3 linked regions of the Elephas maximus indicus genome follow. The protein of the gene in region 2 interacts with the protein of the main gene of each other region in a biochemical or structural test. Links are inferred from orthologs where the notes say so. Each region holds a gene or a part of one and is shown on either strand. Other genes may lie near its edges. The genes, in order: ADRB1, MAGI1 and CYSLTR2.

Evidence for each region.
Region 1: the proteins of MAGI1 (region 2) and ADRB1 interact in a test that uses a peptide from one of them, tested with the Homo sapiens proteins (2 studies listed by IntAct). The link is inferred for Elephas maximus indicus from reciprocal best matches to the Homo sapiens genes MAGI1 and ADRB1.
Region 3: the proteins of MAGI1 (region 2) and CYSLTR2 interact in a test that uses a peptide from one of them, tested with the Homo sapiens proteins (2 studies listed by IntAct, with this or other methods). The link is inferred for Elephas maximus indicus from reciprocal best matches to the Homo sapiens genes MAGI1 and CYSLTR2.

The regions. Positions count from the first base shown.
Region 1 is NC_064834.1:64,995,653-65,006,145, forward strand, and holds ADRB1 (beta-1 adrenergic receptor), read left to right. Parts: upstream 1-6,508; 5' UTR 6,509-6,611; coding exon 6,612-8,000; 3' UTR 8,001-9,372; downstream 9,373-10,493. UniProt on the Homo sapiens protein: Beta-adrenergic receptors mediate the catecholamine-induced activation of adenylate cyclase through the action of G proteins. This receptor binds epinephrine and norepinephrine with approximately equal affinity.
Region 2 is NC_064838.1:71,686,173-71,696,504, forward strand, and holds the start of MAGI1 (membrane-associated guanylate kinase, WW and PDZ domain-containing protein 1), read right to left. Parts: upstream 4,603-10,332; 5' UTR 3,733-4,602; coding exon 3,420-3,732; intron 1-3,419. UniProt on the Homo sapiens protein: Plays a role in coupling actin fibers to cell junctions in endothelial cells, via its interaction with AMOTL2 and CDH5. May regulate acid-induced ASIC3 currents by modulating its expression at the cell surface.
Region 3 is NC_064832.1:30,343,538-30,353,163, forward strand, and holds the start of CYSLTR2 (cysteinyl leukotriene receptor 2), read right to left. Parts: upstream 4,118-9,626; 5' UTR 4,060-4,117; intron 3,466-4,059; 5' UTR 3,358-3,465; intron 1-3,357. UniProt on the Homo sapiens protein: Receptor for cysteinyl leukotrienes. The response is mediated via a G-protein that activates a phosphatidylinositol-calcium second messenger system.

The sequences.
Region 1 (10,493 bases), on a different chromosome or scaffold from region 2:
CTGTCGTAAGGCAAAGGACTTGGCAGACTTCTCCTTACTGAGTGGGTCTGGATGAGCATCTATGCAGTACATAAATACTGAGTACGTTTAGAACAAAAATATTTATACAATCCAAAGAATTGGAAAAACAGATGAAAGAAGATACCTGTTTGGCCTTCTCAAAGAAGTCAAACGAAAAGAAAGACATTTAAATGATTTGTTCTGTCACCCAGAGGCAAAGAAGACAACCAGCTTCTTCTACCAGTTCCCTTTGGCAACTCTATTCAGTTGGGTGGCCCAGGATGCCATCTTCCATGGTTGAATGGAAAATACAATGTCTTCTTTTATTTTAGGAAAACCACTGAACATAAGCTTTTAAGTGATTCTTCTATTCCGCTGGAATTTATTAAGCACCTACAACCTGGTCAGAATAAATGAGGGCTAAGATGTTTAAAGGAATCGACTTGAGGGCACTGGGTGGTTTTTAAGATGTTTAAAAAGCATCATTCCTATCTTTCAGGAGCTTAAACCAAGGGATTGGGGAATTTTTGCTGCTATAAACTCCTTCTTCAGCTTTTTAGACTATAATTGTTTATCTGCAACACTGTAAGAGCCTGTTAATATAAAAGCTAGAGTGTGCAATAATTAGCACAGCTTGTTGTCATCACAAGCTCTGGACTTGGGCAAAGTGAAGGACAACTGTTAGCCAAATGGTGATCATGGGTAGTGACAACACTTCCATTGCTACCAGCACTTTAAGATAAGATTTCACCTGATGGCCAATCAATTTTTATTCATTATACAACTGAATAAGAGTAGAATTTTTGAAAGTTGGTTTACATTTTGTACTGCAAAAAAAAAAAGTTTTTTTTGGTACTGGGAGTCACGACACTAGTCACTTGAAAAAAAAATCCTTTCTCTGCTGCTAATACTTCACCACTGAAATACCTTAGAAGAAATTTATTTCAGAAAATCACATAAACATAAATACTTTAAACAAAAAAAAAAGAATACATCTGAAGAACGGTGCCAAAAAATAAAGCAAAAAAAAACCTACCTTTTTTAATAAGATGACTTGCCAATGGTAAAAGCGCTTAAAAATAGTTCACTGTTACCAGTCTTCTAAATCATATTAATATCTAGTATGAGGAAGAAAGGAGAAACTGAAAAAGAAAGGCTTATTTCGGTGAATTAACTATTTTCGTAGTCACACCTTTCTTTGTTTGAAATGCGATGATAATTGGATAAGACAGCAATAAATGCTTCACAGGTATAGGGTGTTACATGAGATTTCAAGACGCTTTCATATACATTATCTCACTCAATTCACACACAACCCTGTGCAAGAATGAATGACAAGCCCGTTTCCAAGGTGAAGCCACCGCTGAAGGTCAAACAGAAAAGTGACAAAGCCAGGACACAAATCTGGATCTTCTGCCTCCCAGGTCAGAATACTCTCCAATACATCCAAATTTTGAAAAATACTATTTTTGGCTCTGGCGTTGTTCAATGTACTTATCAAGCACACAAGGAAGAGGAGGAGGAAGTGAAGAGGGAGGAAGTGGGGGAAAGAGGAAAGCTTTTGAATTTTCCAAATAGTCCACAAGTTCCTATGATTATACCGCTGTCTTCTGTGTTCACTGTGATCACCGTGGATGGAGTGGCTTGTCCCTGTGTAAACTGTGGTTGTAAAACCAACATATGACCTTAAATCGCAGCCACGGGCGCAAGCTGTTCTTTGATTACTTAGCACTAAATGACTGTTTTAGCAGTTGTGTTTCTCATGTGAAGAGAGATATGTCTTCTCTCTGAAACAGTCACTTGAGCTCTGATTAATAAATTCCCCCACCTATTATCAGTTTCAAGACAATTTTTGCTAGCCAACTGTTTGGCCACGCTTCTTGATGTTTTACTTGGAAATCTGTCCCTCCCCAGGACTTCCCTGGGCCCACCTTCCACCAGCTGTGGAGGCAGTCTACTCCCCTTTCTTTTTTAACTTATGTTCTAGCAAAATCAACTCAAAAATGGAAATGTCTTTGCCGGTACCTGGTGCTGTTGACTTGATTCCAACTCATGGTGACCTCATGTGTTTCAAAGCGGCTGTGATCTTTCAGAAGTAGATCAAGAGGCCTTTTTTCAGAGGCATCTCTGGGTGTATTTGAATAGCCAAACTTTTAGTCAGTAGCCAAACACTTAACTGCCCACCCAAGGACTATATATTATGATGAGCCCACTGTCTTTGAGTCGCTTCCATCTCATAGCAACTCAACAGCACAGAGTAGAGCTGCCCCATAGGGTTTCCTAGGCTATAATCTTTACCGAAGCAGACTGCCACATCTTTCTCCCATGGAGTCACTGGTAGGTTCAAACTGCTGATTTGGCTAGCAGCCAATAAGATAGTACTTTTTATTATGCAACTTGCAGGGCCCCTTTGGAAAGCCTCTTGCCTATGTACTTCTTTATTCATTACTCAGTGTGGTATCTCATGAGCCTACCTTGAATTTGTAAGGTGTTTTGAAATGTTTACATGGAAATGCTGACTAGGCTATAGAAATTTGACTTATTATGACAAATTATAAGCATGAGTGAAAATTATAACTCTCAAAACACTAGATTATTTCTCATATGAGTAAATGTGAAATGGTTTAATATAATTAAAATATAAAATATTTATGAATCAATGCTAAGTGTTAATATTAGGTAAATATTAATAAACATGGAAGATATAAAAATGTATAGGGCAGCCCTGGCTCTTGGCGAGCTTATAATCTACAAGGAAATGCATTTCTGTGAGTGATAAAGCTAGAATTTGGTTGTAGAGGTACTTAAGTTTCTCTGAATTTCTGTTTAAAAAAATACATTAAATTAGAAACATTCAAAACCAGAAGGGTATTCTTGCAGGAGTTCCCAAGCAGGGCTATAAGCATAAAGAGAAAAACCCATTTAAAAATTAAATAACAATATAAGAGGCATCAAAAGGCAAGAGATTGCTAATTGCCACCTAAATGGCAACTGGAAGAGTAAGTCAGAGGAAGGAGAGACCATGTCTCGCAGTCAGGGACCAAAAAAAAAAAAAACCAAACCCATTGCTTTCATGTCAACTTTCTTAGCAGCCCTATAGGACAGAACAGAACTGCCCTATAGAGTTTCCAAGGAGCATCAGGTGGATTCGAACTGCCGACCTTTTGGTTAGCAGCTGTAGCATTTAACCACTACGACACAAGGTTTCCAGCAGTAGGGGGCAGGGAAGAATATAAAAGAAATAAGACTTCAGCCAGGTCTTGAAAACTGAATCTAGTGAGACAGAGGAGGAAGGGATTCTTGGTGGAAGCAATCAGCGGGAAAGAGTTGAGAGCCAAGAAAGGAAAGAGTTAAGGACTGCAGGTTAAGGTGACATGGACAGTTCCAATGAGAGAGAACTCTGGAAAGGCCATTTGGAACTGGACTGTGGAGGACATTGAATGTCAAGTAGAGTTCAGGTTTCTGAACAGAAAAGCATGTTGGTCAACGCCCTGTTTTAGAAATATTAACCCGACTGTGGTATGCCAGAGCAAATCAAGGGGACGGACTAGAGGCAGGGAGATGACATAGAGCCCGTGGCAGGTTCTGGTGTGGCGTGACGGACGTGAGATGGGAACAGGAGAGGTGTGGGTGGAAAACACTGAGAGAGAAGCACACTACCTCTCAAGTGTGCTGATTAGCATCATTGCTGGAGCTCTGTCATTTTCTAAAGTATTGTCCAATGTGTGGGTTCAGAGCTGATTCATTTTAACAATTGTAGATGGAGGATGGAGGGATGGAGGAGTTATTCATTTTGAAGTTGCAACCCCCAAAACATTTAATATCTGTGTAAGTTGATATGTTGAACCTTTTCCCCTTGATCTTGGATTCTCATCTAAACACTAAAAGTATTAGCCAAAGTATGTCTCAAAAAGTCATGAAATGGAGGAATTAAGGGAGATATGGGAACATTTTCTTTTAAAAACAAAGCTAATTCAAGTTCAGCATGGACTCTTCCAAACTTCTCAGTCAGTACGCCTGCAGGAAAGCCCCAAGAATAGCTGGCGCCCCTTTATGCTTATAGCCCTATTTGGGAACTCCTGCTAGAATACCCTTCCGGTTTTGAATGTTTCTGATTTAATGTATTTTTTTATACAGAAATTCGGAGAAACTAGATTTAAGTACCTCTACAACCAAGTTCTGCCTTTACTCACAGAAATGTATTTCCTTCACCCTTCAGGGGCACTTAAGGTTGCCACACTCTATTCTGGTAACACCACTTGACAGAAAGATGGCGCCAGATAGAACGCCTTTCCTCCACATTCCCCACCCCACAGCCAGGCACTCAGAACCTCTTTTCTGGGCAGCATCAATTTCAACTCTTTCTAATCCCCTGGTTATTTTGAGACTATCCCTTGAAGGCCTGAAAGAAGGATGCATTCTCCAGCCTCAACTCTTTCTAGACCCTCTTGTTTCCTGGCTCTCTCTCCTCATCCTCCTCAAATTGGCAGAAGTAGGCCGGTAAGTCCTAGGGGAGGGGCGAATAAACAAATAAATCACTCCCCAGTTGTAGCACTCTGAATACCAAGTTTGGACCTAAAGCATTTCTATATACTTAGATTTAAGTAAGAGAAGGTAGTTAAAACTACTTAACTTTATAAACTTAATAGGCATTGCTTTTTGCCCTTAAGCTGAGTAGCTATGGAAGTCAGTCTCTCTCTACAAGGTAAGAATATAAATTTGGTCCAGAAGTTGATGTTCCTTCCAGATGCTGATTTATTTTTATGCCAATGCTAGAAAGATGTGTGAGCATTATATAACATTTTCACATACCCTTGCATAAAAAATTAAAAGTGGTTTACTTCTCAAAGATGCAGTGAAACATTCTTATTTTTCAGGCCTGAGCTGAGGACATTACCATGGTCGATCAAATTAGAGAAGAGGGTTTGCTGTCGCTCTGATGTTGATGGCAATGCTATCAGTCCCCCCACATAATCCACCCACAAAGGGCAGATTTCACTGATTTCAAACCGATTCCCTAGCAACTCAAAAGCCACTGGTCTATCTTTAAATGCTTTCAGATTTTAAACCTCTTGAGTATTTATGTATTTTCTTTTCATATCCTTCCAAAACTAACCCCAGAGTTTTGAGAAATCTGGAAACTTGGGCAAAGGAGAAAACAACCCTGCAGACCAAGAAGTCTGAAATCGTATTTTTATTCCTTCAACCCAAACTGGCAGGACCTTTTTGTTTGTATTGACCCAGCTCAAATTATAAAACCATATAAGTAATAAAACACAAAATACAGGTGTTATCCCTGAAGGTAAAAAGACTGAAATGTAATTAAATGTGCCCTTTCTTCGTGGCGATGTCATTTACTTTGTAGGTTAATATTTGTGTTTCCTAAAAATCTCTCTGTTTTTATTACAAACACACACGGTTGCATCATACTCACACATTCATTATTTGGGACTGAGGAGTGTGTGTTTTTCCAACTCGGTCTCAGCGTTAGCTGTTGGATGCACAAACATCCGCCTCCTTTCTGCGTCCACTGCACTGGTACAACAGGAGCCGGTTGCAAGAACAGCGCCCCGAGAGCGTTGCTGACAGATGCGAGGTTTGCTCCTGCCACGCGCTCGGCTGGGAAGTTTCCTCTAACCACTGACACCCCTCTCCAATCCCCCGAGCTGACAGGACGCAGGCTGGCTGGGTCCCCTTTTGATGAGGGAAGGGTTTTGCACACACCCTGCTAGGTTGCCCGATCAAGAAACAATCTCGCTGCCAAACTCCTCCAACCTCAGCGGACAGACTGTCTAAGGCGCTCTGGCGCTTCAAGAACACCGAGGTCCCCTCCCGGCTAAAAGGAGCACGCGCTCTGCTCTGCAGGAGACCGGGCACTGGAGGTAGAGGGGAGGCCAGGGGGCCTGGGGGTGCAGAAGAGTTGGGGGAGGCGTTGAAGAGAGCGGGATGTGGAAGAGGGAGCCGGGCGCTGTAGGCAAGAGGGGCTTAGAAGCGAACGGAGCGTAGAAGCCAGTGGGCGGGGGGGGGGGTCACAGGACGGGGCGGGGACGCGGAAAGGAGCCCGGCGCGGTAGCCGGCGTTGGAAGAATGGGATGCAGGACTGGGCGCGCGCAGGAACCGGTGGGCTCCGAGGTGGCGCTCGCTCTGAGCTCTGCCCCCAGCTCCCCCAAGCCACTTAATTGCGGGTGAGAGGGAGGTGCGGGGACTTGGGGAGGGGGGGAACAAGATAGGGGCGTGCCTTGGCCCTGATAGGCTGCAGGAGCCTGACGCGACGCCCAGGGGGTTGGCTTGGACCGGGTGGGAGGGGGGTGGGGGGTGCTGGGTGCCGGAGCTGCGAGCCCGGCGCGCTCAGAAACATGCTGAGGTCCCGGCGGCTGTTCCAGCAGCGGCAGCGGCTCCAGCAGCAGCGGCGGCGGCGGCGGCGGCGACAGCGCTAGGCTTTGGCTCAGGCTGGGAAGGCGCCCGGCGTCGATGCCTCAGGTCCGGCACCGCGACTGTCCTGACCCGGCCGCGACCTGCCTCGGAGCGCCCCGCTGCAGCGGCTTCTGGGGTGTTCTCCAACCACGACCCAGCCCCGCCACACCCCCTGCCCCTGGCCTTCGCAGCTCGGCATGGGCGCGGGGGCGCTCGCCCTGGGCGCCTCCGAGCCCTGCAACCTGTCGTCGGCTGCTCCGCTTCCCGAAGGCGCGGCCACAGCCGCGAGACTGCTGGTGCCGGCATCGCCTTCCCCCTCTTTGGTGCCCCCAGTGAGCGAAGGCCCCGCGCCGCTGTCGCAGCAGTGGACGGCCGGCATGGGCCTACTGATGGCGCTCATCGTGCTGCTCATCGTGGCGGGCAACGTGCTGGTGATCGTGGCCATCGCCAAGACGCCGCGGCTGCAGACGCTCACCAACCTCTTCATCATGTCCCTGGCCAGCGCCGACCTGGTCATGGGGCTGCTGGTGGTGCCGTTCGGGGCCACCATCGTGGTGTGGGGCCGCTGGGAGTACGGCTCCTTCTTCTGCGAACTTTGGACCTCGGTGGACGTGCTATGTGTGACGGCCAGCATCGAGACCCTGTGTGTCATCGCCCTGGACCGCTACCTCGCCATCACGTCCCCCTTCCGCTATGAGAGTCTGCTGACCCGCGCGCGGGCGCGGGTCCTCGTCTGCACCGTGTGGGCCATCTCGGCCCTGGTATCCTTCCTGCCCATTCTCATGCACTGGTGGCGGGACAAGGGCGAAGAGGCGCTCCGCTGCTATGAGGACCCCAAGTGCTGCGACTTCGTCACCAACCGGGCCTACGCTATCGCCTCGTCCGTCGTCTCCTTCTACGTGCCCCTGTGCATCATGGCTTTCGTGTACCTGCGGGTGTTCCGCGAGGCCCAGAAGCAGGTGAAGAAGATCGACAGCTGCGAGCGCCGCTTCCTCGGCGGCCCCGCGCGGCAGCCCTCGCCCGCGCCCTCTCCGACCCCTCCGCGCGCCCCTGCCCCGGTGGCCAACGGCCGCGCTGGCAAGCGGCGGCCCTCGCGCCTCGTGGCCCTCCGCGAGCAGAAGGCGCTCAAGACCCTGGGCATCATCATGGGCGTGTTCACGCTCTGCTGGCTGCCCTTCTTCCTAGCGAACGTGGTGAAGGCCTTCCACCGCGACCTGGTGCCCGACCGCCTCTTCGTCTTCTTCAACTGGCTGGGCTACGCCAACTCGGCCTTCAACCCCATCATCTACTGCCGCAGCCCCGACTTCCGCAAGGCCTTCCAGCGCCTGCTCTGCTACGCGCGCCGGGACGCCCGGGGCTGCCATGCGGCCCCCGGCGACCGGCCGCGCGCCCCGGGCTGCCTGGCTGTGGCCGGGCCGCCACCGTCGCCCGGGGTCGACGACGACGACGACGACGACGTTGGGGCCCCACCGCCCGCGAGCCTGCTGGAGCCCTGGGCCGGCTGCAACGGCGGGGCGGTGGCGGACAGCGACTCGAGCCTGGACGAGCCGACCCGCCGGGGCTCCGGCTCGGAATCCAAAGTGTAGGGCCGGGCGAGCTGCGGGACGCCAGGGCCCCGCCACGCTGCCGGCCTGGGACGCGGAGTCTGCGTCCCGGGGAGGAGGAGCGCCCGGGCACCCTGGAATGGCTTCCCAGGGGAAAGGGGAGAGCTTGTGTTTACTCAAGACCGAAAGCAGGTGAATGCGACGCCCACAAACCTCGTCTGAATCAGCCAAGACAAAAAGAAAAGCCACGCACCGTTGCACGAAAAGGAAAGTTTGGGGAGGGATGGGAGAGTGGCTTGCGGGTTTTGCTGGAGTTCTTTGATGTTTGTGGTTGGCCTTCTTCTGTGTGTGCGGGTAATGCATCTTTAGATTTTTGTTTTCCCCCTCCACGTGGTTTTTTGACACTTTTCGACAAGGACCAGAGTGAAAGTTGGGTGGATAGGGGAAGGGAGAAGCATTAGGGAATAAAAGTATCTCGTTGGCGTCCACCCCATTCCAGGGGAACAGGAGCATTCAGCTGGGGCGGGGTAGGGGACAGCTTGTCAGGGCGTGTTCCCTTTTGCTTTCCAGACAGTTTTCATTTTAACTTCTGGGTAACGATTCCTCCTGTTCTTAAAGCAAAGCGAAAGGATGGATGCAGAAATCGTGTTTCAAGCCATTTTCAGCTATTCTTAGAACAAGCCTCACCTTGCTTAGCTTTCGCAGGGCTGACTGGCTGCCCCCGCCCGCCCCGCGCGCCTCGGTGGTCAAGCTGAGGGCGTTCTACCTCACACTGTGCATATTGCACAGCAAGATGCAAAGCCTTGTTTATATTAAACAGTTTATTTATGTATCAATATTAGTTTGAAGGACCAGGCACTGAGCCTTTGTGACATGTGACTCTGTCCCTTGAAGACGGGACAGAAAACTTTTCAAAAAAGGAAACAATTCTAGTATCAAAACAGATAACTGCACATTTGGGTAAAAACAAACAAAAAAGAGAGTGGCTCAAAATGCCATTTTTGCACAGTGTTAGAAATTTTGAAGTCCACAGATGTTACTTGCACAAAAAGAAATGAAATGTTTTTATGGGGTGGGGAAGTGTCTTAAAAACTAAAATAAAATTCGAACTCTTCTTCTGTTGTCTATTGTTATTTGAGCTAGCGATTTACTGGGAAAATACCTTTTTATACTCTTTTATCATGGTACTGTAACTGTATCCATATTATAAATATAATTATTTGAAGGTTTTTTTTTTTTTTATGTCCAAGTGTCCCCATGAATCTGCTGGTAAAATTTAGCACTCGTGTGTAAATTCTATTTCCTCTTGTGTGTTTTACCAAGTATTTATACTCTGGTGCAACTAACTACTGTGTGAGGAGTTGGTTCACGTGCAATAAATGCCAGTGAAGCACAATCAAGGTTATGTATGTGTGTTTGTAAAGGGTCAGTGATAATGGAAAGGACAGCTTGTTTTGCTCAAAATACAGATGGGATTTCCAAGATAGCCCTTCTAAAAGCTTTTCATGACTCAAAAATGTCTGTAGACCAAAAAGACAAAAAAAAAAAAAAGGCGAGCACCTCCTGAGAGCTGCAGACTTGCCCTACATTTTCACAGGTGGATTCAGGGTGTTCCAGGCTCCTTGTAGGCGTTGTCAAGATCCCATCTGCTGCACTTGACTTCAGAAATGTGAACACCGTGTGGAGCACAGCTCTACTCTGACACACATGGGGTCATCATGAGTCAGAGTTGACCTGATGGTAACTTTTTTTTTTTTTTAATCTTCTAAATAAAGCAATCGGCCTGGTAACAAGGCTGCAACGTTGTACAGAAATATAAGGAGAAAGACTAGTGCTTTCAACAGTAAGTTGCTTCCCTGGAATACGGTAAGTGGTTTCCATGGCCCATTTCTGTTTTCCAGTGGAAAATCACTTCAGTGTTCAGTGTGTGCATATTTCTCCCGTGGCTGTTTAGAGTGAAAAATGCTTTCATGCCTAAGTAAAAAATTTATAGAGCGTCTTCTTAAGTAAATACTTTTTCTCTTCTGTAATTAGATAGATCACTTCAGCAGTTCTGGGTGGGCAGGTCACAGGTAAAAGCCAAGGGTGAAATCATTTCACTTTGTAACGAAATTATCACACCCCACCGGATGAGTTTTTTTTCCCCATGAAATTAGTTCTTAAGGAAAGCATAGTGAAATTCCATCCTGAAACTGAATGTGTTCTCCAAAATAAGTTTAAGTATCTCTCTTTGTATTTGTAAGCTCAGCTTTTCATATTGTGATTGTCCAGTAAAGCTTAGGACATAAAGCTGTGGCTCTTGTCGTGCTGTAACACTGAGCAGACTGTATTCTACTAGGGAAAGTCCAGACTGATGACCCTTTTTTGCAAGGGGATATTTTAAAGACTTGGAAGGAAGCTTCTGAGAAAGGTTAATAATATAGACGTTTTAGAGTCTAGCAGAAGGTTGCATGAACAGTAGCCTTTTCAACAAAAGCTAACCTGTTTGGAAGACCAAGATGGCAAAGCTTGTTTAAAAGTACAAAGCTAAGTACT
Region 2 (10,332 bases):
ACGGTATTCAACAACAACAGACTAGACATAAAACACTTGCTCTGAGAAGGGGCTGGCACATTCCAAGGCAAGTGCTTAATAAATACTGCATACCTCCTACATCAGTTTTCTTACTTTTTTTTTCCTTTCCCCATATACCTCTATTAAATTTTTTTTTTTTTTTTTAATAGAGAACGGCTAAAATTCAGAAAACAGACAGCATCAAAGGTTGGCAAAGGCGTGGGGCAACGGCAGCATCTGGAGCAGCTTTATCGGTAACAGCCAAAGCCAAATGCTCATCGATAAGCAAATGGATGAAGAAGCTGCTGTCTATACACTGGACTAGGACTCAGTAGTTTAAGGAAAGAACAAAAACAACATGAAAAAATCTCCATAACATTTTGTTGAGCAACAAGAGCAGACACAAAAGAGTACATTCTGCACTATTTCATTGATATTGTTAGGAACCAAATCACAACAACATTTGCCTCTGGAGGGGTTGGGGGAAACTGACGGGAAAGAGACCTGAGGGAAATTTCCGGGGTGATGAAAATGTTCTATATCTTAACTGGAGTGATGATAGCATGAGCGTATACATTTGTCAAAACTCAAACTATACACTTAAGATCTGTGCATTTTACTGTAAGTTAATGATACTTCAATAAAGTATATAAAAACATATATATATTTTTTCTTTTTTTCCTAGTTTAGGCACCTTCTGAAACACAACAATCTTCTCCATTTAAAATGAACCAACTCCAACCCTGCAGATCCACTTAGCTGGATTCCTTCACAATCCAGTCCTGCGTCTAATACCATTTGCTAGACTATTTTGGCGCGTGCATCTTTCCAGGGAGATGCCATAAGGTGGAAACAGCAGAATCTTCTCCCACAATAAGACTGTGACATTTCCATACAGATAGCACGCAGAGTGACCCGCATCACTGGCAGTGGTTAACTCAAGGTGTAGACAATACAGAAATAACACTTTTCTTTGCCACATACCAAATATGGACCTGCCTGATATTAGGACACAGTAACGAAGACACAGTAAGTGCAGTTCTGTCATGTCACTTAAATTACATTCTCGGTATAAAAAAGGGAACAACAGCCTGATGAAGTGGCTTCTAGTGCCATCTTTACTAGCAATGAAGACATAAGAAGAGCTAACTGTTGTCTGTGTAATTATTATGAGAAGTAATAGCTTTCACACTGTAGTGGATTCCAGGCCATTCGGGATTCCTCATCAACATTTTTATTCTACTCCATTACAAGTAATTTTATATACACACACAGCTGCTGTGAACATTATGTGCACACAGAATAGTTCTAAGAGACTATACTTCCCTTTGAACCCACTTCTAAACCCACCTGATTAACTCCCCAACCCTTCCAAAGCTCCATAATGACGCAGCCCTGGGACAATGCCTCCTGTCTCTTTTGATGGCCAGTGAAGAGAGGAAGCCCAGCTATATGCAGCATCGGGCACACTGAAAACACGTCCCCATGGGCCCATCGGACACCACCAGACACCCCACTAGGTTGGCCTATCCTTTCTCCACCCCTTTCTCCAAAATGCCTGCATCCATTCCCATCAAATGTCCTGACACAGTATTTTCCCTACAACTCTATCAAATCCTGATAATTCAGGTCCCTGACATCAAAAGTTAACCTTACAAAGAAGTAAGTACTCAATTCAATTCAAACATAACAATAACTCACCTTTACTGAACACTCAGTACATGCCAGGCACTGTTTTGTGCACTTCCTGTACTAGTTTACATAACACCCAGAAGAAAGCCATTTTATAGATAAGGGAACACCCTCAGAGGTGGGTCTCAAGCAAAGGCTGGGGAGAAGGGCTAGGAATGAGGCACAGTCTCTCCCTGCAGTAAGCTTACTACCTGGGACAAGAGGAGTAGGACCCAACTTGTAGCTCTAAGTTAAAAACCACAAGGTACACATCAAGGGAGCCCAGAGGAAGAAGGATTTGTTCATCCTGGCAGGAACCTGGAAGGCTTCTTGGAGGAAGTGTCCAAGTGGAGATGAGGACATAAATGGCCAAAGATTTTCATAGCTCAGTGTCCACCCCTCAGCTCCCAAAGCTACCAAAGACTTAGCTATCCCCTGCCCCCTCTTCCCTTTCCTGGAACAAGCCTGTTTCCAAGAGAAGCCCAGCCCAGGCCTTCTTTCCTTTGACACATTCCTCCAGCTGCTGTCCACCGACAGACACATGTGGGACCTCTTTACCATGCTCAACTATGTCACCTCCTTTGGTGTTTTCAGGGAGAGAACTGCATCATGGTGTTTGGTCACACAAGGGATGCCTTTTAGAGACTCCAGTCTTCTCTGCTGGACTGATGTAGGAACAGCCCCTTGCTGTCCCAAACCAAGATGTAAGACACCCCTCTTCCTCCTCCCCCAACCAACTGCATCTTCCATCCTCTAAGAGGTAGACCCCTCCAGGCTTCTCAGGGGAAAATCTAGTCTACTTCCTGACACAAGTTAGCCCCTCCAGTCCCTAAGGGTCATCCCCCAACCCCTACCTCCTACCTCCTCAGTGCTTAAGGCTCTGCAACTCAAACCAGGCTTTTGGTAGGGGTGTGACCTTGGGCAAGTCACTTAACCAATGTCAGTCCCGGTTTCCGTATCTGTTAAATGGGGTTTATAAAAACAACTCTTTCTTAGGATTGTGAACCAGAGTGAAATCATACAAGTAAGGCAGCACCCAGAGCCTAGCACGGAACACAAATCAATGAATGGTAGCTATCGTTATTATAGAGGATGATGATAATAATGACAGCGTAAATTGGGTCTAGATTTGCGCTAAGAGTAATACCCCCTCGCCCCGCCCGGTGCTGGGCCAAACGGTGGAGACACATGCGTCATTCGGCTGTGGGGTGAATGCAGAATCTTCAGGCAGCGGGCTTAGGAACCGCCAGGCGAGGGGTTGTGGGGTGAAGCCGATTTTAGGGTGGAGGGGATCCAGTAAACTGAGGACCCTTCCTTCCTTCATACCCACTTTCCAGGTCTGGAAACAGAAAAATGGCAGAAGAAAGTCAGCAGCTGCGCCCGCAGCACTTCTTCCCCCAAGGAGCTGCTGGAGCGTCCACCTTTGCTCCAGCCTCAGTTCCCCAACTCGCCTCCAGGTGCAGGCGAGGCTGCGCTGCGTTTGGTGGCTGAGATAACAGGCTGGCAACCAGGCCCGCGACACGTCTCCCCGGTTCCCTGTTCAAACCCAGACGCCTCTTCCAAAGCAGGTGGGCAAACAACCTACAGTCTCGCAACAACTTTGTGTATGTCTCTACTGCAGGGCACACAGCCTCAACGTCCCCTCTCGGGTTCGCTGCGAGGAGGAACGCGGGAAATCACGGTTAGGGAGACACCCCACAGGCCGTGCAGTTTTCCAGGGGCGCCCCCAGAGGCGCGCCCGGTCTTACCTTGTCTGACGGCTTTGAAGGTGACGGCCTCCTTGCAGCTGTCGACGACTCCCAACACGTCATAGCGGGGCAAGCCGGACACCCGGATCCCCTGCACCTCCAGCAACAGCTCCCCCTCGCCCAGCCTCGGACCCTCTCCTCCGCCAGGAAGCCCCGCCACCTCGGCCGCGGCCACCGCTCCGACGTACGGAAACTCCCCGTTCTCCGCGCCCCCCAGCACCGTCACCCCCAGCTCGCCCTGGGGCCCCCGCTTCACGGTGCATTCGTGAACCCTGCTGGTCCAGTGATTCTTCTTCTGGATCACTTTCGACATGACGAGGTACACCCCTCCTCCAAAAAATAAAATAAAATGAGAGACAGGTGCCCCCCCAGCGCAAGCCTCCAAGCCGCCGGTGGTTCATAGGAGAGCCACCTCCTCCCAGTAACGCCCCTGGAGAGGAACTTGGCGGCCTCGCTCGCCTGCACACACTCGCGCACTCAGGCCATCGTCAAACAAACTTTCTGGGCTTCCCCACCGAGCCTGCACGGGCGCCCGCGCGCTTTGTTTGCGTTCCGGTGCCTCTCGGTCCACGTCCGGGCGCCCGATCGCGCTCGCTCGGACCAGAGTCCACTCTACGCCGCTCCGGGTTTTTTTTTGGTTTTTTTTTTTTTTCCTTCCTTCCTTTCTTTCTTGCCTTTTAGAAATGCGGAGCCTCCTCCTTGCCTCCCGCCCGGCTCGTCCTTCCTCGCTGGCCGGCTGCTCCCGAGGTGGGGCAAGCCCTGCCAGCCCAGTTGCAGGGAGCCCTGGAGACGCGGCGGCGCAGCGGCGCTGAGGGGGAGGACAGCAGGGAAGTGCCCGCGGCCCCTTTAAGCAGATACAAAGGCTCGGCTTGTTTTGTTACATTTCATTCTATTCCGCGCCGCCGAGCGCAGCGAAGCGGCCGGCGGGAGGAGACGCGCGCGCATGCGCCCCGCGGCCGCCTGCCATCCGGCCCGCCCCGCCTCTCCTTCCCTGAGCGAAAGAGTCCAACGGGCTTCCCGTTGGGTCCTAAAGCCGAGCCTGAGAGCAGCCGACTGCCGCCCTCCTCCCCTTCGCACACCGCTGAGCGTCCTCCTCCTTTTCTTTCCGAGGCGTAGACCCAGCAGCTCCTTTTAGGGTTCAGGTTAAAGGATGGTAATTCGCCTCCTACTTTCCAGAACTTAAAAAATATATAGGAAGAGCGCATGTATTTCACTTAAACTGAAACTTTTGAAACATAAAGAATCTGACTTCGGGATTTTAAAACCGCTTCAAACAGGTGGGGGTTGGGGAGGCTCACACACTCCCCCCCGCGTTCACCCTCACCCCCGCGCTCACACACTCACCCCCGCGTTCACCCTCACCCCCGCGCTCACACACTCACCCCCGCGCTCACCCTCACCCCCGCGTTCACCCTCGCGCTCACGCTCACCCCCGCGCTCACCCTCACCCCCCCCGCGCTCACACACTCACCCTCGTGTTCACACTCACCCCCGCGCTCACCTTCACCCCCCCCGCGCTCACACACACACCCTCGCGCTCACACTCACCCCCGCGCTCACCCTCACCCCCCGCGCTCACACACTCACCCCCGCGCTCACCCTCACCCCCGCGTTCACCCTCGCGCTCACGCTCACCCCCGCGCTCACCCTCACCCCCCCGCGCTCACACACTCACCCTCGCGCTCACACTCACCCCCGCGCTCACCCTCACCCCCCCGCGCTCACACACTCACCCTCGCGCTCACACTCACCCCCGCGCTAACCCTCACCCCCCCCGCGCTCACACACTCACCCCCGCGCTCACCCTCACCCCCGCGTTCACCCTCGCGCTCACACTCACCCCCGCGCTAACCCTCACCCCCCCGCGCTCACACACACACCCTCGCACTCACACTCACCCCCAAGTTCACGCTCACCCTCACCGCCGCGCTCACCCTCATCCCAGCTCCCACCCTCACCCCAGCTCCCACCCTCACCCCCGCGCTCACCCTCACCCCGGCGCTCACCCTCGCGCTCACTCACCCCCGCGCTCACACATTCCCCCCCGGGCTCACACTCACCCCCGCGCTCACACACTCACCCTCGCGCTCACACTCACCCCCGCGCTCACACTCACCCCCGCTTTCACACACCCTCGCGCTCACACTCACCCCCGCTCTCACACTCACCCCCGCGTTCACTTTCACCCTCACCGCCGCGCTCACCCCCGCGTTCACACTCTCCCCCCGCGCTCACACACTCACCCTTGCGCTCACACTCACGCACTCACGCTGGCCCTAAGCCTCCTGCCGCCCTCGCCTGTGGCTGTGGATCACCTAGCCCGCTGTGTCCGCCCCCGACACTCCCAGCCAATTTCCCTCTAAACCCCTGAGACCCCCGGGAGGCGCGCCCTTGCTCCCCGCCGCCGTGTGCCCGCGGTTTCGCGTTCTGGCGGGGGATCTGCCAGGATCCCGGGAGCTACCAATCTGGGATCCCTGTGAGCCTCGCACGCCCCCATACGCCGTTAAACTTTGGAGCCAACGTCATAGGACACAGGGAAAAATACAGGCGAGGGAGAGAAGCCCAGGGGCTGGAGGGGTTCGGACCTCCAACCCTCGTTTAAATGGCATCTAGCTTTTTAACTGTCCTTCCAGAAGAGACTTCTGGAGTCTGTCATTTGCCCTGGACTCAAGGTACTGGCGGAGCCGGGAAGCCTGGGGACCCGCCCCGAGGCCAGGAGATAAGGATCGCCACGGAGTCTGGGGCATAGGCGCGCAGCCGCCACCTCTCAGAATTCGAGGCCCCAGGTCGCTCCACCTCGGGAGCCGCCCAGAGGCGGGGAGAGCGTGTGTCTGTCCGGTGAGGTTACAGAACCAGCTCGGCCGCAGGCAGGAGAAACACAGTCGCCACGAAGGCTGCCCTATCCAAATACTCCCTTGATGGGCCTGGGCGGTTAAGGACTTTCCCAAGCGGTTTCTTTTTCCTTTTAATGATTTATAACTTGATTATTCATCTTTAGTCACAGGAGAGAGTCCAAATGCTAAATAAGGGAGGTGAGTTGAGGGGACTGAGAGAGTGGTATGCCCCAGGGGTCAGGTTGAGAGCTGGGCTCCGGAGTGTTGTTTCCCGTGGTCCACTCTGTGCGACCTTGGGCAAGTTCCGTGGTCTCTCAGAGCCTTCATTTTCTGCCCTGTAAGAAGACTGTAACAGTACCTCACGGGGTCCTTGGGAGCGTTACATGGGAGAATACTTGTAAAGCAAATACTCGTCAAGTGGCATATAATAAAAGTATATTATTAGTAGTATTAATACTCAATTTGGAAAGGGAAAGGAATTCATTTGAGGTTTCAGGTTAAATGATGATAATTCATTTACTTTCTAGAACTTAAAAAATGTGTAAACATATATTTAAATATCTTAAAGCACTTTTTTAGGATTCTATTTTATTATAGGGAGCCCTGGTGGCACAGGGGTTAAGAGATTTGCTGCTGACCAAAAGGTCAAATACACCAGCTGCTCCTTCGAAGCCCTATGGGGCAGTTCTGTTCTGTCCTATAGGGTCGCTATGAGTTGGGATTGACTTGAAGGCAATGGGTTTTATTCTTGCTAGAAGTCCCTGGGCGATGCAAAGGGTAATGCACTAGGCTGCTACCCTTAAGGGTTGGGGGTTTGAGTCCACCCCAAAAGCACCTCAGAAGAAAGGGTTGGAGATCTTTTTTCCGAAAAATCGGTCATTGAAAACCCCATGGAGCATACATAGTTCTACTCTGACACACGTGAAGTTGCCGTGAGTAGGAACTGACTCGACAGCAACTGGTTTGGTTTATCCAAGAAAAGAATGTTGATGCTTCTCTCTTGGAATATCCAGAACTTAAAATCTTATTGCCTCCTTGTGTTTCTGAAAGGAGGTGGCCAATTTCCCGTGGCCCTCCTTGGTGAGGGGCGCGTCCTTCATCTCCAGCCTCTTTTCTCAGAAGGAGGTCCCCAGGTGGCACAAATGATTTGTGCTTGACTGCTAATCCACTAGCCGCTTTCTGGAAACCCTACAGGGCAATTCCAGTCTGTCCTGTAGGGTGGCTGTGAGTCGGAATTGACTTGACGCCAACAGACTTGGTTTTTGGTTTGGTACTAACATAAAGGTTAGTGGTTCGAACTCACCCAGGGGTGCGGTGGAGGAAAGGCCTGGAACCTGCTTGCGTAAAGACTACCGTCAAGAAACCCCAATGAGGCAGTTCCACTCTCTAACACATATGGCCGCCACGAGTCCAAGACGATGGGTTGGTTGGTTGATTGTCTCAGAAACAACTGGTTTGTTCCAAACCTGTGGAACAGAATCTTATGGGGAGCTTCAGTAGGATCCTAAACTCAACCCCAGGTCCAGCCATCCCGAATGTCAGGGAGAGGGTCTCTCATCTGGATTTTTAAGGTGCCCCCAAGTGGTGCTGTTACACAATGTTGAGGACCACGGCTCTAGCACCATAATTCCTAAACAATTTTTTTAGTATAAAGCTGTGTATGGTTCATCTTCCTCTGGAGTGTACGCTCTGGGAGAGCAGGAAATTTGGCGGTTGTGTTTACTGATGTATTCCCAGTTCCTAAAACAGTGCCTCACTCAAGCAGCTTCTGTCTCATGGTTACCCCATTGTATTTCAGAGTAGAACTGTGCTCCACAGGATTTTCATGGCTGTGACCTTTTGGAAGCAGGTCACCAGGCCTTTCTTCTGAGGTGCCTCTAGGTGAGTTCAAACCACCAATCTTTAAGTTAGTACCCGAGCACTTAACTGTTAGCACCATGCAGAGGCTCCTAGAACAGTACTTGGTACCTAGTAAATGCTCATGTATTGGTTGAATGAATATTCCCAGAAAAATGCACATTTTCACCTCCCATGTTAGAGGGGAATCCCAGATTACCTTACAAATTACTAGTAAGCTTGATCCTGCGGGTTCCGCCCACCCCCTCCCCCACTCCATAGTCCAGTAAAGACTGATTGCTAGCTAGGAATTCCTCCACCTCCCTAGAATCAGCACCTCTGGACTCCCGCCCCTGCATGGGTAGTCTAGGGGCTGTGCAGGGCCATCTGGACTCCCGCCCCTGCATGGGTAGTCTAGGGGCTGTGCAGGGCCATCTGGACTCCCGCCCCTGCATGGGTAGTCTAGGGGCTGTGCAGGGCCAGGTGCTTCTGGACTCCTCCCACTGTGGTGCTGCCATCTTCCTTCTCCAGGATTCCAGGTGTCCCTGCACCTAAGAGGGAAATGGATGTGGCCTTTAGCACACTTCAGGATTTAAATGTGGAGTAACCCCAGGAGAAGAAGTACATTGGAGTACAGAGTGCAGGATGGAGAAAGGAATAGGGAGACAGGAAATAATTCAAGCCTCCGAAGCAGCCAAAGCTGCCGGTTTTGAAGCATTAGTTATATGTTTGCAAACTCTCTTGCCCTTTTCTCACTTCTGCTGTTTTTTCTGTTTCAGCTGATCTGGTTCCTACGTCCCAGACCGGAAACCCCTTCAGAGCAGAAATCGTATCTGCCCTACCCAACTTATGAATCCTCAGAACCTAAAACAACCCTTGATGGAGACTGTGCTCCATACGCACTTACTGAATAATTGAATGAATGGATGAAATTTGATGTTAAACTGTTTAACTTGTGGCCTTTGACGCAAAGCCAATTTTTATATTTAGTGGCTAGAACCGAGGTATTTGTAGGTTATTTTCTTGGAAGAGTTTGAAGTGAATTTTTCTTGAATAGGTATAAGGTGGGACCCTGGTGTCCAGGTATCTCTCATTTATGCCATGACTTTGGCAGTACATTCCGATGGGGAGAATAATACCGTGAAGTTCATAACTTTGACGTTTACCTGTGTACCAGGATCATTATGGGTATCATTTAATCCTCACAGCAGCCACATAAGGTAGATGTTATAACTGACCAAGAGTGTTATGAACTGAACTGTGTCTCCCCAAAATATGTGTTGAATTCCTGGTCCTTGTACCTGTGGATGTTTGGAAATGGATTTTTCTTTTGTTATGTTAATGAGGTCATACCAGAATACGGTGGATCCTAAACCTAATCACTTCTGAATTAGAAAAAGACCCAGACACACGCAGGGAAGGCAGACACCAAGGAACTCCAAGGAACACCAAGAATCCCCAACAGACACCAGAAACTAGGAGAGAGGCTCACAGAAGGAATTAATATCGTCAAGACCCTAATTTGGACTTTTCGTCACCAGAACTGTGGGAAAATAAATTTCTGTTCTTTTAAAGCCACTCACGTGTGGTATTTCTGTTACAGCAGCAACTAAGACACTGACTTTGCAGTTAAGGGAGGGAAGTGAAGAAATACCCAAGGTCACAGAGCTTGGACATGACAAAGCCAGGATATGAACCCAGAAGCATGACCCAAAGCCCCTGCTCTGAGCCACTTCACTATGAGATGTAGGATATGGGCACCTACTTTTAGCACATTTGGTAAGAGTATATTTTGGCTCTTGAGTCTGCCACATAGTGTATGCACAGTAATTAATCACCCTCTTTGTCTCTTCCCTTTAATCTGAAGGAATACAGTATTCCACTCAGGAACCCAATTTCCTGTTCCCCATCTGTGGGCTCTGAAGATGGAATAATTTCCTGGAATGTAAAGAGGATTAATTTGCAAACATGTCTAACGTGTTTGGAAATCTGTGGGCTGTGGCACAGGTGAAGAGGCAAACGTTCTTAGACCGTTATTGAGGAGGTATTTCAACAACACTCTTAATAAACAGTGGATGCAGATGAAAAATAAACTGTGACACCCAACAAACTCTCAACAGATAAAGATCTTGTTTTCATTCAGTAGTTCTACTTGGAGGGTTGAAAAATAAAAAACACAAATATGAAATGTGTATTTCTCCTCCTTGTGCCAAATTTGTTTCTTTCCAAAGTTTTCCAGTTGT
Region 3 (9,626 bases), on a different chromosome or scaffold from region 2:
TGCTACCTTCTACTTGCTCAGTTCTGCTTCTCTGACTTTCTATTGAGTTATCTAATTCTGTAATTTTATTTTTAATATTCTGAGTTTCTGATTGCTGTCTGTCTATGGGTTTTTCCAGCTTATTAAACTTTTCATTATGTTCCTGAATAATCTTTCTGATTCCTTCAGTTGCTTTATCTATGTGTTCCTTAGCTTGTTCTGCATATTGCCTCATTTCCTTCCTGATGTCTTAAAGGGTTCTGTATATTAAACTTTTGTATTCTGCATCTGGTAATTCCAGGAATTCACTTTCATCTAAAAGATTCCTGGATTCTTTGTTTTGAGAGCCTGTTGAGGTGATCATGGCCTTTTTCTTTATGTGACTTGATATTGACTGTTGTCTCTGATCCATCTATAAGTTATTGTATTAGTTTATGCTTGCTTACTGTCTCGTAGCTGCTTGCTTTGTTTTGTTTTGGTATACGCCTATGGGTTGCTTCAGTGAGCTAGCTTGATTATTTTCACCTTTGGAGCGCTGGTTTCCCTTCTCCAGCTGGCTAGAGCTGTTATCAGGTATATCAGTCTAGGAGTCCATTCAGTTTTCTTGTATGAATTCAGCTCAGGTTTCCAGGTAGCTGATGTCAAGTGTGTGGTACCAGCTCTGTCATACAGCCTTAGAGGGGCAGGGGTGATTGGCGTATATACCAGTATCTGATTGCAGCGGGGGCTCACGCTCTGAACAAGGCAGGGGGCTGAGAACTGACCCCCAAGTGTCTCTGAGGAAACATGTCTCTGTTCCCTAGAGCGTGCTGGTGGATGGTCTCTGCAGAGGGACCATGGGCACCCAAAGTTTTTGGTTGTAAGGACTGGGAGGTACCAGTTATCCCTGGACCCCTGTCACAGGTGGCTAGGCAACCCACGTGGAGCCACCAGTCCTCAGGTCCCTGTTGTGAGTAGTTGAGAACCTTGTTTAATAGGTAAAGCAATGTCAAATGTGAAACACCCACCTCTCCACTGCACAGCTGAAATGGTTGGTGTTTGCCATCAAGGGCCTATTCTCCCGAAATAGACCCACACAGTCCATGCAGAAGGGAAAGGTGCTCAAGGTCCATGGACAGTTTATGCCTGGACAGGAGCTGCTTCTGTCCTGAGCTCCCCCAGTTAATGGAGCTAGCAAATTATCTTTTCCCCCCAGTTGCAAATTTTTTCCTTCCCCAAGGCCAGGAGGACGGCTCCAGGTGCTCACCAGAGTCTATCTCAGGCCCAGGGATTCAGCCGCTGAAGCTGGGTTGGGGGTGGGGGGTGCAGTAAAATATACGCAAGTACTTAGCTTTTGCCGAGAGCGCCCTTCTCCTCAGGCTCTGAGGGTGTGAGTGGGCTGTGTGGCTGGCTGCTTCTCCCTGAGAAAACTGCAGCTGAACGCTAGGACCAGCCCGCCGCCACCGCTGTAGTCGCCACTCTGGGAATGGTGCCTGAGGGCTCCCTGTGATTCAGGTCTGGTAAGTCTTCTTTGCTTCTGATCGGTCTCTTCCTCCCTCTGCCCCTCAGTTCACTGTCTAAGCTTACCTTTGATGCTCAGGGTTCCCAGCTTGTCACAAATATACTGGTTTCGCTTGTTTTTTTGAGTCTTTTTTGTAAAGAGGGCTCGATGGAAGCATCTGTCTCTTCTGCCATCTTGGCTCCGCCTCCAAAGATTAGTTTTGATTTAAATGAATTTTTAATAATGCAAAATCTCCATAACTGCATGTCTCCCATAAAGTATGACTATAGTGTACCAAAAAGCTAGAGAGTAAAAAAGACTGTGGCCTTAGAGCTTAAAAGAACTGAATTGATGAAAGAATACTCAGATTGAGTATAAGTTCTCCGTATGAGTTCGGAGCAAAAAAATAAATATAAATTCCTCTTTTATACATCCTAGTGAATCTGCATCATAACAAGAATAATGAGGGAAAAAATTTAAAGCAAACTGAACCATTTTATGTTCCCACCAGCAACGAATAAAGGTTCGAATTTCTCCACATCCTCGCTAACCTCTGTTATTTTCCATTCTTCTTTGTTTGTTTTTGCTTTTATCTTAGCCATCCTTAGTATGTCTCTAATGGTTAATGCATCAATGGGCTCAAGCATAATAATGATTGTGAGGATGGTGCAAAACCAGGTAGTGTTTCATTCTATTGTACACAGGGTTGCTATGAATTGAAACTGACTAGACGGCACCTAACAATAACAACAATCATTAGATGTTGAACATTTTTTTGAAGTGCTTGTTGGCCTTTTGAAAATCCACTTTGGTGAAATATCTGGTTTCTCAAAAAGTTAAATGTAGAACTACCATATGACCCAGAAATTCCACTCCTAGATATATACCCAAGAGACCTGAAAGCAGAACATGAACAGATACATGCACCCCAATGTTCACTGCAGCACTATTCAAAATAAAATTTAGAGAAAAACAATAGAATCAACCCCCTCCTCAATTAGAATTATGTAAACATAAATAAAGTCTAAGTAAACTCCTGGCAAATGTGATCAAGAAAAAGAGAAGCCACAAATAAATCATATTAGGAATGAAAGGGTTTACTGTCAAGATTGTTAAAATTTTAACTAAATATTTTGAATAATTTCATGATAATGCATTTTAAAACGTTGATCAAATAGAGTTTTTGGTTTTGGTTAAATGTAAATTATCTAAAGTAACTCAAGATGAGTCCAGAAGGGATATTAAAAAACATTCACAATGGGTATAGGGATGGGGAATGATAAATCCAAATGACAAAAAAATGAGAACAGACAATTGCTGCAAATAACTGGTAGAGACTTACTGCTGGTAATGAATGACTGTCAAACCCAACCATATCTGTAATAGAAATTAAATCAGAAGCCAAAAATCTACACACCAAGAAAGCACTATGCTCAGAAGACTGTAGAAACAAGTTTTACCAAAACTGTAAGGAGCAGATAACTCTTTACCCATACAAACTGTTTCAGATAATAGAAAAAGAAGAATTACTTCTCAACTAAAAAAGGAGAGAAAGTATAAGAAGAAAAATTTGTATGTCAAGCTTAGGTATGAACATGAATGTAATTATCATAAGCAAAATATTAGGGAACTGAATTCAGCAATATGTGTAAAAAAAATCGTGACTTACTAGAGTTTATTTCAACAATGTAAGGATGTTTTAAGACATGAAATCCTATTAATTTAACACATTAAGAAAATTTTTAGATATACATGATTATCTCAATATATAACCAAAAAAGCATTCAATAAAATTTAGCATACATTCATGATTTTGATACAAACAAAAAGCACACTTAAGCTATTAGGAACAGAAGGGAATTTCCTTAATCTGGTAAAAGATATTATCAAAAACTTACCACAAACATCATACTCATCGGTGAAATATTAAAAGCATTCTGTTTAGGAAGCCAGCACAACTTGTCCAAGGCAAGGTCATGGAAGCTCCACAGACACATCCAGACTCCCTGAGGGATGAAATTACTGGTCTGAGAGCTGGGAACCATGGTTTCGGGGGACATTTCGCTCAACTGGCATAACACACTTATAAAGAAAATGTTCCACATTCTACTTTGGTGAGCAGCGTTTGGGGTCTTAAAAGCTTGTGAGCAGCCACCTAAGATACTCCACTGGTCTTACTCCGTCAGGAGCATGGGAGAATGAAGAAAACCAAAGACACAAAGGAGAGATTAGTGCAAAGGACTAATGGGCCAAAACTACCACAGCCTCCACCAGACTGAGTCCAGCACAACTAGATCTTGGTGCACAGCCAGCAAAGATCCTGGACAGGAAGTACAGGACGGTAACTCCACAGAGCTCGCAACAGGAGACAGAGCACCCAGTAACCAGAGAAACACGCTTTCCCACTCCTCATCTTTCTGCCCTGTATGCCACCCCCAGCCCTTCCTGACAGGCCACACCATGCCACTCAGCTAGAGAGCTACTGGCCTGCCATCATCTGGGTCCACCCCACCCCCACCTGATAGCTCTTGTCGTGCCATTATTTTTTCCTTTCTTCCCTTTCTTTCTCCCTCCCACCTAGCCCCATATGCCAACCTCACCCCTTCCAGATGGGCAGTGCTGTGCCACTCAGTTAGAGAGCTACTGGCCTGCCATCACCCTGGGTCTGCCCCACCCCACCCACCAGCTACTGTTGTGCAATATTTTTCTCTCTCTTCCCTTTCTTTCTCCCTCTTGCCTAGCCCCCTACACCACCCCAACCCCTTCCCAACAGGCAAAGCTGTGCCTCTCAGCTAGAGAGCTACTAGTCTGCCATCACTCCAGGTCCGCCCCAACTCTACCCACCAATTCCTGTTGTGCCATTTTTTTTCCTTTCTTCTTTTTCTTTCCTTTCTTCTTTTTCTTTCTCTCTCCCAGCTAGCCCTGTAAGACGCTTCATTCCCACTTCCACTGGCCCCAGGTACACCCCAAGCCCACACTCCAGTTACCCTTTCATTTTTTTTCTTTTCTTTATTTCCCTTACTTAGCCCCATACACCAGCCCCCTCTTCTTACTGGCCCTTGTGGTGCTGCCATGGCTAAAGCATGCTTGCCTCAGGCCCACCAATGCAATGGACTTACACTGCCCCTCCCATTTTGCCACCCAACCAGCTGCTGAACGAGTTCCTGTCTGACACTCCCACCTCTCTCGCAAAGGACTGTGAATGCTCTCACATCGCTGGACCAACACCAGGGGTAGACAGCACCCCCCAGTCTGCCCTCAGCACCTCACCAAACAAGTGTACAGCAAAGTGGGCTCACAATACATGCTAGTGCTCTGCCCAGCCAGACAAGGTGGTGACAGTTATTGTGTCCATGATGAGCAACTGGCAAAGCATGCCTGGCCAGCCCACCCTGACATATAAAAAAAAACAAAAACAAAGATCAGGATGAAACAAACAAACACACAATCAATAAATACAGAAAACCGTACCTTGATGTCTTGGAGGCAGCAGACAATACCAAAACATATAAAAAAGCAGGGCAATGTGGCTCCAGCAAAAAAAGAAAGAAAGAAACAGATAACCAACCAAGGGAAGACAAAGAATGGAACTACCTAATATGGAGTGCAAAAGACTAATATTTAGGGCTCTCCAACAGATTAAGAAAGAGATGAAGTAAAGCACAGACCAAACCAAAGAAAAAACAAACAAAATCATGGAGAACATGGAAAAAAAACAGGCAAAATCAGGGAAAACACAAAACAATAGAAGACTTCAGGAAAAAAAACTCAAGAACAAAACTTCAAAATGAATAAAGAATTAGAAATAATACAAAAACGGCAACTAGAAATCCAAAGATAACATTTCAGAAATTGACAACTCAGTAGAAGGTTTTAGGAGAAAATTTGAATCAATGGAAGACAGAATCAGCAAGACTGAAGACAAATACGTGGACGCTACTTTGAGGAGAAATCAGAGAAAAGAATGAAGAAAACCTAAGAATTATGAAGGACACAATCAAAGAGCAAAAATTTGCATGTGATCAGAGTTCCAGAACAGGGGGATAAAATGAAAAACATAGAGAAAATTGTTGAAAATTTGCTGGCAGAAAACTTCCCAAGTATCATGAAAGAAGAAAAGCTGACCATCCAAGAAGCTCAATGAACTCCATATAGGATAGACCCTGTGATGGTTAAGGTCGTGTGTCAACTTGGCTGGGCCATGATTCTCAGTGGTTTGACAGTTATGATGTAGTTTGGAAGCCATATGATGATGTGATCTCTTCCATGATGAGATATGATATAATGTGATCACATCAACAATGGGATCTGTTTGAATAGCCAGTCAAAAGAGAGTTTCCTTGTGGGTGTAGCCTGCATCCAATATAGGTGGACTCTGGCAAGATTCATGGGCTTTTGCTTCCTCTGGATCTTTCAGCTGGCTCCTGCTCATCTGACCTCAGATTCTTGGGACTTAAGCCAGGAGTTTACTTGCCATTTTGCCTGCTGATCTTGGGATTCATCAGTCTTTGCAGCCTGTGAGCAAGAGCCCTGCTCTCTGACCTGCCGATCTTGGGTTTGCCAGGCCCTGTGGCTATGTGAATGAGGAGAAGCCTCCATCATAACCCACAGACTAGGAACATTACAGCCTCCACAACCATGTGACCCATTTACTTGATATAAATCTCTCTATATAATTAAATACTTTACTGGTTTTGCCTTACTAGAGAACCAGCCTAAGACAGATCCCAAAAGAAACTCACCAAGACATATCATATTCACATTTGCCAAACCAAAGACCAAGAAAGAACTCTGAGAGCAGCTTGAGAAAAATGAAAAGTCACTTACAAAGGGGAAACAATAAGACTAAGCTCTGATTACTTGGCAGAAACAATGCAGGCAAGGAGACAATGGGATGACATATGAAAAGAAAGAAAAAAAAATGGCAAACAAGAATAATATACCCTGCAAAAATCTCTCAATTGCAATGATGTAATTAGGACATTTCTAGATAAACAGAATTTAAGGAAATTCATTAAAACCAAACCAAATTTTAAAACCATATTAAAGGAAGACCTTTGGTTAGAGAACCAACAACATCAAACAACAACTGGGGTCTAGCACACAGGACAGCATCAGACAGATACTAACCTAGGTAAAGAACTCTCAATAATAAAACAAGGCTAATAGACTTAAAACAGGAAACACAGACACCAGTCTGTAAATGACAACAATGTCAAAACTCTAAAAGAGGAAATAAACAGTGTAGGTACAGAACTTTCAAATGGAGGAGAAATTAAGGCAACATCAAGTAATAAAAGACTGTTTAAACTTAGGAAGGTAAGGGTAAATTTCAAGGTAACCATAAAGAGACCTAACAAACCCACTCATCAGAGGAAAAAGGAGAAAAAGTCTCAGTACACATAAAATGTATAAAAAGAAAAGAAAACCCACAAATCAACCAACTTGACCTCATAGATATATATATATAAAACACTCCACCCAACAGCTCCAAAGCATACATCTTTTTCTAACACCCATGGAACATTTCCCAGAATAGACCAAATTTTAGGACATAAAGCAAAGCTCAATAAAATCCAAAACATTGAAATAATGCAAAGCATTCTCTCTGATCACAATGCTGTAAAAGTAGAAATCAATAACATGAAAAACAAGGGAAAAAAAACTCAAATACATGAAAACTGAATAACACCTTGCTTAAAAAAAAACTGAGTAATAGAAGAGATCAAAAAGGGAATCAAAAAGTTCTTAGAATGAATGAAAATGAAAAACATCATACAAAAACTTTGGGACACAGCAAAGTCAACGCTCACAGTTCAATTTATACCAATAAATGCATACATCAAAAAAAGAAGAATGGGCCAAAATCAAAGTGTTAGCCTTACAATTCAAACAAATAGAAAAAGAGCAGAAAAAAGAAGTCCACAGCCACAAAAATAAAGGAAATAATAAAGATTACAGCAGAAATAAATGAAATAGAGAACAGAAAAACAATAGAAAGAACCAACAATACCAAACATTGGTTGTTTCAAAAGATCAACGAAATCAAAAAACCATCGGCCGAACTGACAAAAGAAAAACAGGAAAGGAAGCAAATAAAACAAATAAGAAATAAGGTAACAGACTCAACTGAAATAAAAAGGATCATAACAGAATACCATGAAAAATTATACTCCAACAAATTTGAAAACCAAGAGGAAATGGTCAATTTTCTAGAAACACTCTACCTACCTAAACTAACACAAACCAAGATAGGAAATCTGAACAGACCTATAACAAGAGAGAGAATAGAAGAGGTAATAAAAAGACTCCCAAAAGCAAAGCAGAAAAAAAAGTCCTGGCCCAAACAGCTTCACTGGAGAATCTTACTAAGCATTCAGAGAAGAGCTCATACCAGCACAACTCAAACTATTTCGGAACATAGAAAAGGAAAAGATATTCCCAAATTCATTCTATGAAGCCAGTATAACCCTATACCAAAGCCAAGCAAAGACACCATCCAAAAAAAAAGACCAATACCTGTCATGAATATAGATTCAAAATTCTCACCCACAGAATTCAGCATCATATCAGAAAAATAATACACTACAACCAAGTGGGATTCATACCAGGTATGCAAGGATGCCTCAACATAAAAAAATCAATCGACACAATCCACCACATAAATAAAGCAAAAGAAGAGAATCACCTGATCGTCTCAATTGACCCAGAAAAGGCATTCAACAAAGTTCAACGCCCATTTGTGATAAAAACTCTCAATAAAATAGGTATAGAAGTGAAATTCCTCAACATAATAAACGGCATCTATAGAAAACCAACAGCTAATATCATTCTCAACAGAAAGAGGCTGGAAACATTCCCCCTGAGAACAGGAAAAAGGCAAGTATGCCCTTTAACACCACTTCCATTTAACATTGTACTGGAAGCTCTAGCTAGAGCAGTAAGGCAAGAAAAAGAAATAAAGGTCATCCAAATTGGTAAGGAAGAAGTAAAATTATCCCCATTCATGGATGATATGATACTAGACATAGAGAGCCCAAAGGACTCCACAAGAAAACTACTGGAACTAATAGAAAGATTCAGCAGAGTAGCAGGATACAAGACAAACACAAAAGTCAGTGGGATTCCTACACACCAATAAAGGAAATCAGGAAAGCAATACCATTTATAATAACCCCTTAAAAAAATAAAATATTTAGGAATAAATCTAACCAGAGTTGTAAAAGACCTAAACAAAGAAAACTACAAAGCACCACTGCAGGAACCAAAAGAGATCTACATAAATGGGAAAACATACCAGGATCGTGGATAGGTAGACTCAACATTGTGAAAATGTCAATTCTACCCAAAGCAATCTACAAATACAAGGCAATCTCAATCCAAAAACCAACAGCATTCATTAATGAGATGGAAAAACTAATCATTAACTTTATATGGAAAGGAAAGAGGCCCCAGATAAGTAAAAGGCATTATTGAAGAAGAACAGAGTAGGAGGCCTCGCACTACCTGAGCTCAGAACCTGCTATACAGCTACAGTAGCCAAAACAGCCTGGTACTGGTACAATGACAGACACATTGACCAATGGAACAGAATTGAGAATCCAGATGTAAATCCATCCACCTACAGTCACTTCATCTTTGACAAAGGCCAAAGTCCATTAAATAGGGAAAAGACAGTCTTTTCAACAAATGGTGCTGGCAAAACTGGATGTCCATCTGTAAAAAAAATGCAACAGAACCCAAACCTCACACCACAGACAAAAACTAACTCAAAATGGATCAAAGACCTAAATATAAAACCAAAAACTATATAGATCATAAAAGAAAAAACAGGCTCAACGCTAGGGGCCTTAATAAACAGCATAAACCAGATACAAACCATAACTAACAATTCAAAAACACTGGAAGATAAGGTAGAAACTGGAATCTTAAAAATTAAACACCTATGTTCATCAAAAGTCTTCACGAAAAGAGTAAAAACAGAACTTACAGACCGGGAAAAAAAAATTGGCTACGACATATACAACTAAGGTCTAATCTCTAAAATCTACAGGAAAACCCAACACCTCTACAACAAAAAGATAAATAATCCAATTTAAAAATGGGCAAAAGATATGAACAGACACTTCACCAAAGAAGACATTCATGCAGCTAATAGACACATGAG